Arabidopsis thaliana: one gene and its partner. The protein of the gene in region 1 interacts with the protein of each later gene in a pairwise test. Each region holds a gene or a part of one and is shown in the gene's direction. Other genes may lie near its edges.

Region 1 (3,917 bases):
ATGCACCGTTGCTGCGTCTGCTGGTTATGGTCTAGTCTTATCCCTACAACAGCTAGCCTTTCTAAAAGTCCTAAAGAAGCAAAATTTCTCAGAAGTTATGGATATGATAATCTACGTGAGTCTAGTGGCCAGTTGTGTTAGCGTGGTGGGGCTTTTTGCTAGCAGTGAGTGGAAAACTTTGAGCAGTGAAATGGATAACTACAAACATGGGAAGGTATCCTACATTATGAACCTAGTGTGGACAGCTGTTACCTGGCAGGTATTCTCCATCGGTGGCACAGGACTGATCTTCGAGCTCTCCTCTCTATTCTCAAATGCAATAAGCGTTTTGGGACTCCCAGTGGTTCCTATCTTGGCTGTAATCATTTTCCATGACAAAATGAATGGGTTAAAGGTGATTTCTATGATCCTAGCTATTTGGGGTTTCACTTCCTATGTCTACCAACAATATCTTGATGACAAAAACTTGAAGAAAAATCATGAAATCACAACAACAGAATCCCCTGACCCACCAGAAGCAGAAGAGTCAACTTGGCAATCAAAATAAGCTGATATTTTGAAAGATGCTGTCCCGCAGTTTACAGACTCAATCAATCTAGTTAAGTAAACTTACTTTACTTATCGGCCTGGAGGCATCCTACATTGAAGAATACACAATACATTTTTGATGCAACTAATGTAAAGTCTCAGCTTGAAATTTTTTGCATCATTGTAACAGGAAGTAGATTTCATTTAAATAAGTAGTGAATGACTTTGGTTTAGTTTCAATTACGATTACCCAAATTACATTGTAATCTCAGTGAACCAACAATCTTAAGTTTAGAACAGCTGATTACAAAAGTTCATCGTTTAAACTTGGGTTCATAGCAGCTAAAGATTAAATGTAACTCAACCCTGTATGTAACAAGAACCTGTAGGCAGATTGATAAAAGTAGATATTTATTTAATAAAAAACCATGTCAATTTTGTGAGTGTGACACCTGATAAAAATTAACCCTTAGCCATAACTTAAAAAGATTTCAATGCACTATTCCACTTTCTAGTTTTACCTGAAACATTGTGAAACAAGGACACACAGAAAATCATTTCTAATGAAGAAAGAAGAAATATTAATCAGACAGGTCCAAACATCCTTGGTGAAACAGAGCTTTGTACAAAAAGTAAATGACCAGAAATAATACCATTTGGCAGTCTCCATCTTAGCAGTTAATAAAGTGACTTCCTCTGCCATCCAATATTGTGGTGCAAATGTCTTCTTTTGAAAAGAGAAGCGAGACATCATCTCCATAAATGTGTTTCTAATCCACATGCCTGATCTCATAAGAGAAAGATAGTCAGACGGAACAAGCCAAAGAAATTAAAGAAGACGAATAACTTTCAAAATAGACATCCTGACGGTCATACAATCTTACAACTTGTGTGCATGCGTGTTAAGTTTGTGTCTATGCATATGGCTGATGTGTCACACAGGTATAAAATACTGAGTGACTAATGGCTACACATCATTTCCTTCTTGATTTGACTCGACTCATCTCTAGATCAACAATAGTGACAAAAGAAATTAAATTCACAGCAAGAGAAGATATACAGTTGGCATTTACTGAATGTGGGGACAAGTACAATCAAAACATAGACGATGACCGATTCCTAATCTCTAAATATATAGCTACAGCGTGTCTCACCCATATCACAGAAGCAATCACTTGGTAGCACTAGTAACCAAGCAATTTGATAATAAGATACCTAATACTTAGAATCTATTCAGAACATTGTTAGTACCTCCTTGTCCATCTCGAAGGAGGGGGATTCCACATCTACTATGAAGGGGGATCAAGAAGTACAAGTCATTGGTGAGTAAGCATAAACCAGTTCCTCGAGAACCTACTGGTCTTTTATCTTCAAATAAAAGACGAAAAATATGGTTATGGTATCTTATTATTCAATATATCAATATTTTTCATGTGTGACAACAAATAAGTCATAATCTAATTTCTTGCGTTATTTTCCATCACTCACCAGTTCAGCAGGGAAAAGAACCAATTCCAACAGATCAAGACGAAAGAAGTTCGGTCAGTGGCAGCCAAACAAAACTATCTCACTCTAATACATACAAACGGTGGCTCCGGGTTGCTATCTATACATTCTTTGTCATTTCAGGCCAATCAGTTGCTACAATTCTGGGCAGACTATACTATGAAAATGGAGGAAACAGCAAATGGCTAGCAACGGTAGTTCAGCTTGTAGGCTTTCCTATTCTACTTCCATATCATCTCTTGTCAGTCAAAACACATACAACAACTCAGAGAGATGGCAAATTAACCTCACTTAGGAACCGTGCATTAGTTTACATAGTGCTTGGACTTCTTGTAGGAGCAGCTTGCTACCTATATTCCATTGGACTGCTTTACCTACCTGTTTCTACCCTTTCCCTGATCTGTGCATCACAGTTAGCCTTCACCGCTTTCTTCTCTTATTTACTCAACTCACAAAAACTTACTCCTATCATTTTGAATTCTCTTTTCCTCCTCACTATATCTTCCACCCTCCTTGCATTTAATAACGAGGAATCAGATTCCAAAAAAGTTACAAAAGGAGAGTATGTCAAAGGTTTCGTATGCACCGTTGGTGCATCTGCTGGGTTTGGTCTACTCTTATCCCTACAACAGCTAGCCTTTCGTAAAGTTTTAAAGAAGCAAACTTTCTCAGAAGTTATAAATATGATAATCTACATGAGTCTAGTGGCCAGTTGTGTTAGCGTGGTGGGGCTTTTTGCTAGTAGCGAGTGGAAAACTTTGAGCAGTGAAATGGAAAACTACAAACTTGGGAAGGTATCCTATGTCATGAACCTAGTGTGGACAGCTGTTACCTGGCAGGTATTCTCCATCGGTTGCACAGGACTGATCTTCGAGCTTTCCTCCCTATTCTCAAATGCAATAAGCGCTTTGGGACTCCCCGTGGTTCCTATCCTGGCTGTCATCATTTTCCATGACAAAATGAACGGCTTAAAGGTGATTTCTATGATTCTAGCTATTTGGGGTTTCGTATCCTATGTCTACCAACAATATCTTGATGAAACAAACTTGAAGAAAAGTAATGAAATACCAACAACAGAATCCCCTGACCGACCAGAAGCAGAAGGGTCAAGTGAGCAATCAAAATAAGCTGTTACTTCAAAGATTGTGGCACACACAGTTTACAGACTAAAGCGAGCTGATCAAGTAAACTTACTTTTCTTTATTGGTATGAAGGCAGCCTACAATGAAAAATAAACATAATAGATTTGTGATGCGACTCAAGTGAAGTCACAGCCTGAAAATGTGTGCATCATTGTAACATGAAGTATATTTTATTTAAATATATGTTGTGCACGATTCTGGTTTAGTTTGGAATAAGATGACCAAAATCACATTATAAGCTCACTGAAATAGCATTAAGTCATTAACAAAGTCAAAACAGCTGATTACAAAAATTCATTGTTTAAAACTCAATCCTGCATATAAAGAGAAGGTGTACACTATGTAGCTTTCTAAGTTTTTGTAATATATCTAGGTGTAAGTAGAGTTCCAATCAGCTTACATCAGGCACCCAACATAGTGAGCCCGAGGATACTTCTTATGCAGTTGTGGCCATTGAACAAAGAATTGATCAGCTATTCTCAACTTGTAAAGCAACAATCCACTTAATGAGAGCTTTTTCACTCTTGCTACACTCTCAACATAAAAGATTGATGACCATCTAATTCCCAGCACCTGTAACCCAAGATGAAACAAGCACTTATGGGAATTCTAGATGTAATGGAGAAACCATGACTAAGAATAAACAAAACACATCCTCTGTTTTTGGTCACAAGTCCATTCAAGGTCATCCAAAATGTAGAGGAAAGAACTGCAAAGAATCTTGATAAAATATTTCCGAAG
Region 2 (7,618 bases), on another chromosome or scaffold:
AAACTCCTAATATATTTTCCATTTTGTTTTTTTCTCCAAATCTTGATGATTCTTTGTCCAAGTATATATAGCCAATCCCGACTAAATTCCCGACAGATCAAATTTCTTTGGAAAGTTTTGACCGATTTCTGACATATTTTGGAAAAATAGATATCCACCAGAAAGATAGTACCGTTGAAACGTTTTTTGTTCTTGTTACTTGCTTGTTTTCAAAATCATTTTTAAACATTTTCTCCCCTTTTTTACATTTTGAGTTCTAACCAGCACTACGAATATGTTCTTCTAGACTTTAGTTCCATCAGCCTTCTTAGCTCCGACTCCAACATTTTTCTTGTCTATAAGTTCCGCTAGTTGCATCAGAGTTGTCATATTAGTCATTTCTATATATCATATTGAATAGATATGCTTTTGGTAACGAACTAACAACTATATGACGCTAACATGTGAAAATAGAAAAATCAATCATCAATTTGCACTAAAACAAAATGTTGCATCAATTAAATTGTATCAGAAACATGATATTAATTTGAATTAGTTACTGATAATTAATGATACAAAATATATAATTAAAATAATCTGTTATTTATTTATTTGACATCATTAGTTCATTGAAATTGATACAAATCTATATCAGTTTGCATCACTTTTTTTCTTTGCAAACTGTCCATATATAGGGTAAGCAGATGAAAACAGTTTGCTTTCAAATCAGTTATTGAAATTAAATATATTTTCTATTTAAATTAAATTAAATTTATTTTTTATTAAACTTTAAATAGTTTATTTACAAATTATAGAAATATTTAACTTCACTTAGTTATAACTGTTGTTTTTATTGTCAAAAAATAGATTGACAACATATATTTGATGGAAAAGTGAAGATGTTTATCTTTTATAAATTGAAATTTATTAAAAAAAATTTTAAAGAAATCGCAAAAAAGTGTTATTAATTATTACGAAACTTCTGTATGGTTTTGAATGTAATAGGAATACTTTCATATTTGTTAAGAATATATTCAATCGAAACTCATATTAATCTTTAATAAAAAAAGATTTTTTGAGCAAATAAAAAATATATATGGTACAATTTTAGTGATTAAATGTATACAATAATACCGAAACTAAAAATATGGTCTCGAACTTGACAAAAATATATATATATGGTCTCGCTTAACATAACAATTACAAAGCGTTAAACTTTTTTTTTGTAAGGACTACTAGTCACACGTAATATTACATCACGGATCATGGTATATATAAAGCCTATTTGTAAAATGGATTTAAAATATACTATTTTTGGAAAAGAATGTCTGCAAGAGAAATTTTAATATTATCCTTGTTGAATGCAATAGAAGTGTGTTTGTGTGTGGGATTCGTGACGAGTTGCACTACTCACACACCAATACTAACGAGTGCGTTATATTCAAATCTACCAATATAAGTGAGTGTTATTAAGCTAAGCATAATGGCCAAGAAATTTAATATTAAAAAAACAAAAGTTTCCATTTTCCCATTTGAGTTACTTTACTTATAACAAATCGCATCAAAAAGTTAAATTCACCTTCCCATGTGTGTTAAAAATCATTTATTTCCATTAAAATAGTTAGTGACCAAAAAAAAAGAAGAAACTAAATTCACCTTCTCTACACGTCTTTCTCTCTATATATACAAACTTTCTTCTTTCCCTCTTAATGCCTCTTGTAACATTAGCCTCTCTCTCTGTCTTTCTCCTTCCTCACATTATAATTTCTTCCAAGTCACTATTAGCAATTAATCAAAACGGAAGAAATTATATGCGACGATGGTGAAGTTCTCGAAGGAGCTAGAGGCACAACTTATACCGGAGTGGAAAGAGGCCTTTGTTAACTATTGTTTACTAAAGAAACAAATCAAGAAAATCAAAACCTCTCGTAAACCAAAACCGGCTTCTCATTACCCCATTGGTCATCACTCCGATTTTGGTCGATCTCTTTTCGACCCGGTTCGCAAATTGGCCAGGACCTTCTCCGATAAACTATTTTCCAACTCAGAAAAACCAGAGATTCTCCAGGTAATTAATCAACTACTTTTAGTTTTGTCTTAAGAAAAACATGCTTGATTCTTTTGTCGGTTTGAATGATTAGTCTAAAATTCCGTGTAACTTTGTAACCTAGCTCTTTATGTCTAAATGCATTTTACGGAGTTTGAACATGATACCATTAGGGACTAAAAGATTACAATTGGTGAGACCGTATGTTTTTGAGTTTGTCGGATAAAGAATTTAGATTATTTGTGATAATGTAGTGATTTTGTTGTTAACTTAATTTAAATTAGCGTCTTTTTTGGTCCCATGATTGTTTTGTATTGAGTTTCGTGTATGCTTACGTCTTTGTAATTGCTTACGCGTCAGAATTACCAGTTATTTCTGCTTTGTCTAGTACTACATGAGAAATCTGCCTTTTTCTTGTTTTTCTACTTTCTTACAATATTGATTTGCTTTTCAAAATATTTATTAACGAGATATGTAAATTTTACATATTTGACATGATTTGGTAGAGTTCTAATATGTTAATTCTTGTAGAGTAAGTTGGTAATTTTTGTGTGTGTATTAAATATGTAATATATACATATCTAAGTATTTCTGTTCAGGAAAACAATCATTATACACATGATTTAGACCCTATAGCTCATATCTTAACCTAGTAACCTACCGCTTTCCAAAATTAAGAAAAATCCTATAAATTAACTAACCCTGAAATCTGCAAAATATATAATTTTGCGGAAAATAAATGCTTACTTACTACACTCTATTACTCTACATCTTAGATTTTGGTATCACTAATTCCAAAACAAGGTTTGTTTTTCTTCATAGTCTCACGAAAGCCAAGATGCGGAAACGGTTGTGAAGATTGTGATATCTCACGAAACCATCGTGACGGAAAAAATTATATAAAGACATAACAAACTCACAAGTCACCACCCCCTGAAAACATACAATTCAATGACACGTATAAGAAAAATATCAAAATAAATAAATATGATGTTTACATGGTTTGTTGAATTTAATGAAATTGTTGAAATAATAAAACGAAATTTAATATGATGTTATTTTATTTTTTTGAGAATTAACAGGTAAGGAGAAGAAGAGGTAGCTCAGAAACTGGGGATGACGTCGATGAGATTTACCAAACTGAACTTGTTCAGTTGTTTTCCGAAGAAGACGAGGTACATAATTACATCCCTATATTATTTTTCTATAAAAGCTGAAACTTAAATTTTATTTATTATTGGGATTCTATATAACTAGCTATATTAATACTCTTTTTGCTTATACTGTATAAGCTTGAAATAAGGACCTATTATTTGGTGCATTTATTTGACTTTATTAATATCATCATCACTATTACTATATTACGAATTCCTTTTTCTTAAGCTTCAAAAGCAGAAAATTAAATAACATAGCACATAGAGATAGTGGTTTTATTGCTAGCCTAAATTGCACAACACGACCACATCCTAAATCCTAATGAAGATGGTCAAATTTAGACTACTTTTTTCTTCCATTAAGAGTTTATAAATGTTTGATCTGTATTTGAATGCTTTTGTTATTGTTACTTTAGGTTAAAGTGTTTTTCGCTAGATTGGATGAAGAACTAAACAAAGTGAATCAGTTTCACAAGCCCAAAGAAACAGAGTTTTTGGAAAGAGGAGAGATTCTGAAGAAACAGTTGGAGACTCTTGCAGAACTCAAACAGATCTTAAGTGATCGGAAGAAGAGAAACTTGTCTGGCTCAAATTCACATCGCTCCTTCTCATCTTCTGTTCGAAACTCTGATTTCTCTGCAGGTTAGTCTTCTTCTTATTAATGCTTTTACTACAAGTTAGGTCAGATTTAGGGTACTTTAGTAAATTCTGCATTTTGACTTAAGAGTTAAGACTCTTATTAAAAGCTAACCATTAGTATATTTGAGATATGACGCGGCCTGCACCCATTAGAAATCACAAAAGTGCATGTCCTAGAGGCCGTTTACGTAGTGCGGCTAGTAAAAAGAAAAGTAGGTTATTTAATATTTTTATATCATTGCACAATTTAGCGTTTTTGAAATAATTTAAGTAAAAATTCAAATGTTTTGTTATAACACAATAGAAATTCTACTACTGAATGACAAGATTTGTTAAGCATACAAATCTTTTGCATGTGGATGCAAAACTCGAAGCTGCATATATGTGAAAGAAAGAATTTTAGAGTTTTGAGATTTTATTATGTAGACATGCATATCTTCAATGGCCGACAAGAACACAAATCGATTCTACTAACAAACGAACAAAATGTTTGTGAGTAAGAAAATAAAAATGGACCGACAATAGATGGCTAGGTCGACAAAAATTTTTATTTTCTTCTTCTCTTTAGACCTGTGTTAATAGTCACAAAATATATAATTATTTGTAATTTATTTTTTCTTATTGTTCAGGGTCTCCAGGAGAACTAAGTGAGATACAAAGTGAAACATCAAGAACAGATGAAATCATAGAGGCCTTAGAGAGGAACGGTGTGAGTTTCATAAACTCTGCAACGAGGAGCAAAACAAAAGGAGGCAAACCAAAAATGTCTCTCCGCGTCGACATTCCCGACGCTGTGGCCGGAGCCGAAGGTGGTATCGCAAGATCCATCGCCACCGCCATGTCTGTTCTTTGGGAAGAGCTCGTTAACAACCCAAGATCAGATTTCACCAACTGGAAAAATATTCAAAGCGCCGAGAAGAAGATACGAAGTGCCTTTGTTGAACTCTATAGAGGTCTTGGCTTGTTAAAGACTTACAGGTATATTCATTAATGACTCAATATCATTTATTTATTTAGTGATGATCTTATCATTTTTAATTCTTTTGTTGGCTTTATTATGGCAGCTCGTTGAATATGATAGCTTTCACAAAAATAATGAAGAAATTCGATAAGGTAAATTGGTTATAGATTGTACTTTCGGTGATAAACCAATGAAAAAGATAATCATAGTGGTTAATGATGAATCTTTGATATATATATGAATCATCAGGTTGCTGGTCAGAATGCATCATCAACGTATCTCAAAGTCGTAAAGAGATCGCAATTTATCAGCTCTGATAAGGTAAAATAAAAGGAGGTCTTATGCTATGAATAATTTATTGAAAGATTGTTTGAAAATGATTGTTTGATTAAAATTAAAAAAGGTGGTAAGACTTATGGACGAAGTGGAGTCCATATTCACAAAGCACTTCGCCAACAATGACAGGAAAAAGGCCATGAAATTCTTGAAACCCCACCAGACCAAAGATTCTCACATGGTCACTTTCTTTGTTGGTACTTATTTCATTTTCTCTATCTTTATACCTTTATATACCATTCAAAAAAACAGTTCATCAGAGTTTTAACAAATTGAGATTGTGTATCTATGCAGGGTTATTTACGGGTTGCTTCATCTCATTGTTTGTTATTTACATAATACTAGCCCATCTTTCTGGAATCTTCACTTCTAGTGATCAAGTCTCTTATCTGGAGACTGTTTATCCTGTTTTCAGGTAATGAATAATTATACGAATTAATGATCAATTCAACAAAACTGTCACCATCCAATGAGACTTAACCATTTATCGCTTACATTTTGATGATTTTTTTTAAAAACGCAGCGTTTTTGCGTTGCTGAGTCTACACATGTTCATGTATGGATGCAATCTATACATGTGGAAGAACACGAGGATAAACTACACCTTTATTTTTGAGTTTGCACCAAACACAGCGTTGCGTTACCGAGACGCGTTTCTGATGGGAACCACGTTCATGACCTCAGTTGTGGCAGCTATGGTCATCCACCTCATCCTCCGAGCCTCCGGTTTCTCAGCTAGTCAAGTAGACACCATTCCAGGCATCCTCCTCCTGGTAAATCAAATTACTTAGTTCATTAATTATCATATGGCGCGTTTCAATCGCAATCGCTATCACAATCACAATTTGAAACCGCTAATTTCTTTTTCGGTGTGCATGCTACAGATCTTCATATGCGTCTTGATATGCCCATTTAACACATTCTACCGTCCAACAAGGTTCTGCTTCATCCGCATCTTGCGGAAGATTGTTTGCTCACCGTTCTACAAGGTAACAATTGGAGTTATTTGGTTACTTTCAGCACAAGAAATAGCAGAAACATGATTTTTTTTTCTTGTACGGTAAATTTAGGTTTTGATGGTTGATTTCTTCATGGGCGATCAACTTACTAGCCAGGTAAAACTAAGTTATGCAACTTCAATAGATGGTGACGACATCTAATTTAGTCGATAATTAACCCATTAATCGTGTTCTATTCAGATTCCATTGCTGAGACACCTTGAGACAACCGGGTGTTACTTCTTGGCTCAAAGCTTCAAAACTCACGAATACAATACCTGCAAAAACGGAAGATACTATAGAGAATTTGCTTACTTGATTTCTTTCTTACCCTACTTCTGGCGTGCCATGCAAGTAAGCTCACTTAGGGTTTCTCTGTTTTTTTTTTTTTTTTGTCAAGTCCCTTAAAACCTTTCTTCTAAGACACTATGAACATTAATTTACAGTGTGTAAGGAGATGGTGGGACGAATCAAACCCTGATCACCTAATCAACATGGGAAAATACGTGTCAGCGATGGTTGCAGCCGGAGTCCGCATAACCTACGCGAGAGAAAACAACGACTTGTGGTTAACAATGGTGCTCGTAAGCTCCGTTGTGGCAACTATTTACCAATTATACTGGGACTTTGTCAAGGATTGGGGTCTTCTAAACCCTAAATCGAAAAATCCATGGCTAAGAGACAATTTGGTTCTCCGGAACAAGAACTTCTACTACCTCTCCATTGTAAGCCAATTACATAACTAACTATAGCGTGTTTCACAATTTATGATCTTCGACTAAATGTTGAGTTGTTCAGGCGTTGAATTTGGTGTTGCGAGTTGCTTGGATCGAGACAATTATGAGATTCAGGGTCAGTCCTGTTCAGTCTCATTTGCTAGATTTCTTCTTGGCGTCACTTGAAGTCATTCGTCGAGGCCACTGGAACTTTTACAGGTAAATAAAAAAACTTCACCTAGGTTTATTAAAACTTGATTTTGGATGTTATTGAACATGAATCTTTCTTTCGGTATTTACAGAGTGGAGAATGAGCACTTAAACAATGTCGGCCAATTTAGGGCAGTGAAGACCGTACCGTTACCGTTCCTTGACAGGGACTCAGACGGTTAAACAAAGATTTGGAGGGTTTAAGGATCGAACCAAGTTTCAAGTATTTAGAGGAAGCATTTCGGATTTTGCATCGATGTAGTCATATCGGAGAAAAACCTTTGGGAAACTCCCGAAATTGCCTAACCATTTATCCTTAAACATATTAATTATGGGAGACTAATGGATTCTACAACTGTTAAACGCTCCAAAGTGCAAAACGAAGAAGACAATTTTAATTTCATATATTGGTTTATGTAAATTTTGATTTGCGTTCTATGTTCAATAAGTCTTCTTTCTTTTCTAATAAAGAATGTCACTATCTCCTCAAGTTATTTTACTTATTTTTTCAGTATCTTTTTACTTATATATCATTTTACAGAGGCGAAAGAAAATGTAAAACTTCACAGAAGAAAAGG

The links. The genes of interacting proteins can lie anywhere in the genome.
Region 2: the proteins of AT4G18220 (region 1) and PHO1 interact in a protein complementation assay, tested with the Arabidopsis thaliana proteins (one large-scale study listed by BioGRID).

The regions. Positions count from the first base shown.
Region 1 is NC_003075.7:10,076,949-10,080,865, forward strand, and holds AT4G18220 (Drug/metabolite transporter superfamily protein), read left to right. Parts: upstream 1-1,689; 5' UTR 1,690-1,779; coding exon of another isoform or gene 1,780-1,819; coding exon 1,820-1,850; coding exon of another isoform or gene 1,851-1,896; intron 1,897-2,019; coding exon 2,020-3,161; 3' UTR 3,162-3,414; downstream 3,415-3,917. Other genes in the region: PUP10 (purine permease 10), read left to right, coding at 1-547; AT4G18230 (UDP-N-acetylglucosamine transferase subunit ALG14-like protein), read right to left, coding at 3,573-3,749.
Region 2 is NC_003074.8:8,387,423-8,395,040, reverse strand, and holds the start of PHO1 (phosphate 1), read left to right. Parts: upstream 1-1,573; 5' UTR 1,574-1,798; coding exon 1,799-2,047; intron 2,048-3,108; coding exon 3,109-3,201; intron 3,202-3,596; coding exon 3,597-3,822; intron 3,823-4,448; coding exon 4,449-4,797; intron 4,798-4,883; coding exon 4,884-4,932; intron 4,933-5,029; coding exon 5,030-5,101; intron 5,102-5,183; coding exon 5,184-5,313; intron 5,314-5,410; coding exon 5,411-5,531; intron 5,532-5,639; coding exon 5,640-5,889; intron 5,890-6,000; coding exon 6,001-6,105; intron 6,106-6,186; coding exon 6,187-6,231; intron 6,232-6,315; coding exon 6,316-6,468; intron 6,469-6,560; coding exon 6,561-6,839; intron 6,840-6,912; coding exon 6,913-7,049; intron 7,050-7,132; coding exon 7,133-7,223; 3' UTR 7,224-7,618. UniProt on the Arabidopsis thaliana protein: Inositol polyphosphate sensor that associates with transcription factors to regulate inorganic phosphate (Pi) starvation responses. Probably acts by binding inositol polyphosphate via its SPX domain. Acts as a Pi exporter, mediating efflux of Pi out of cells.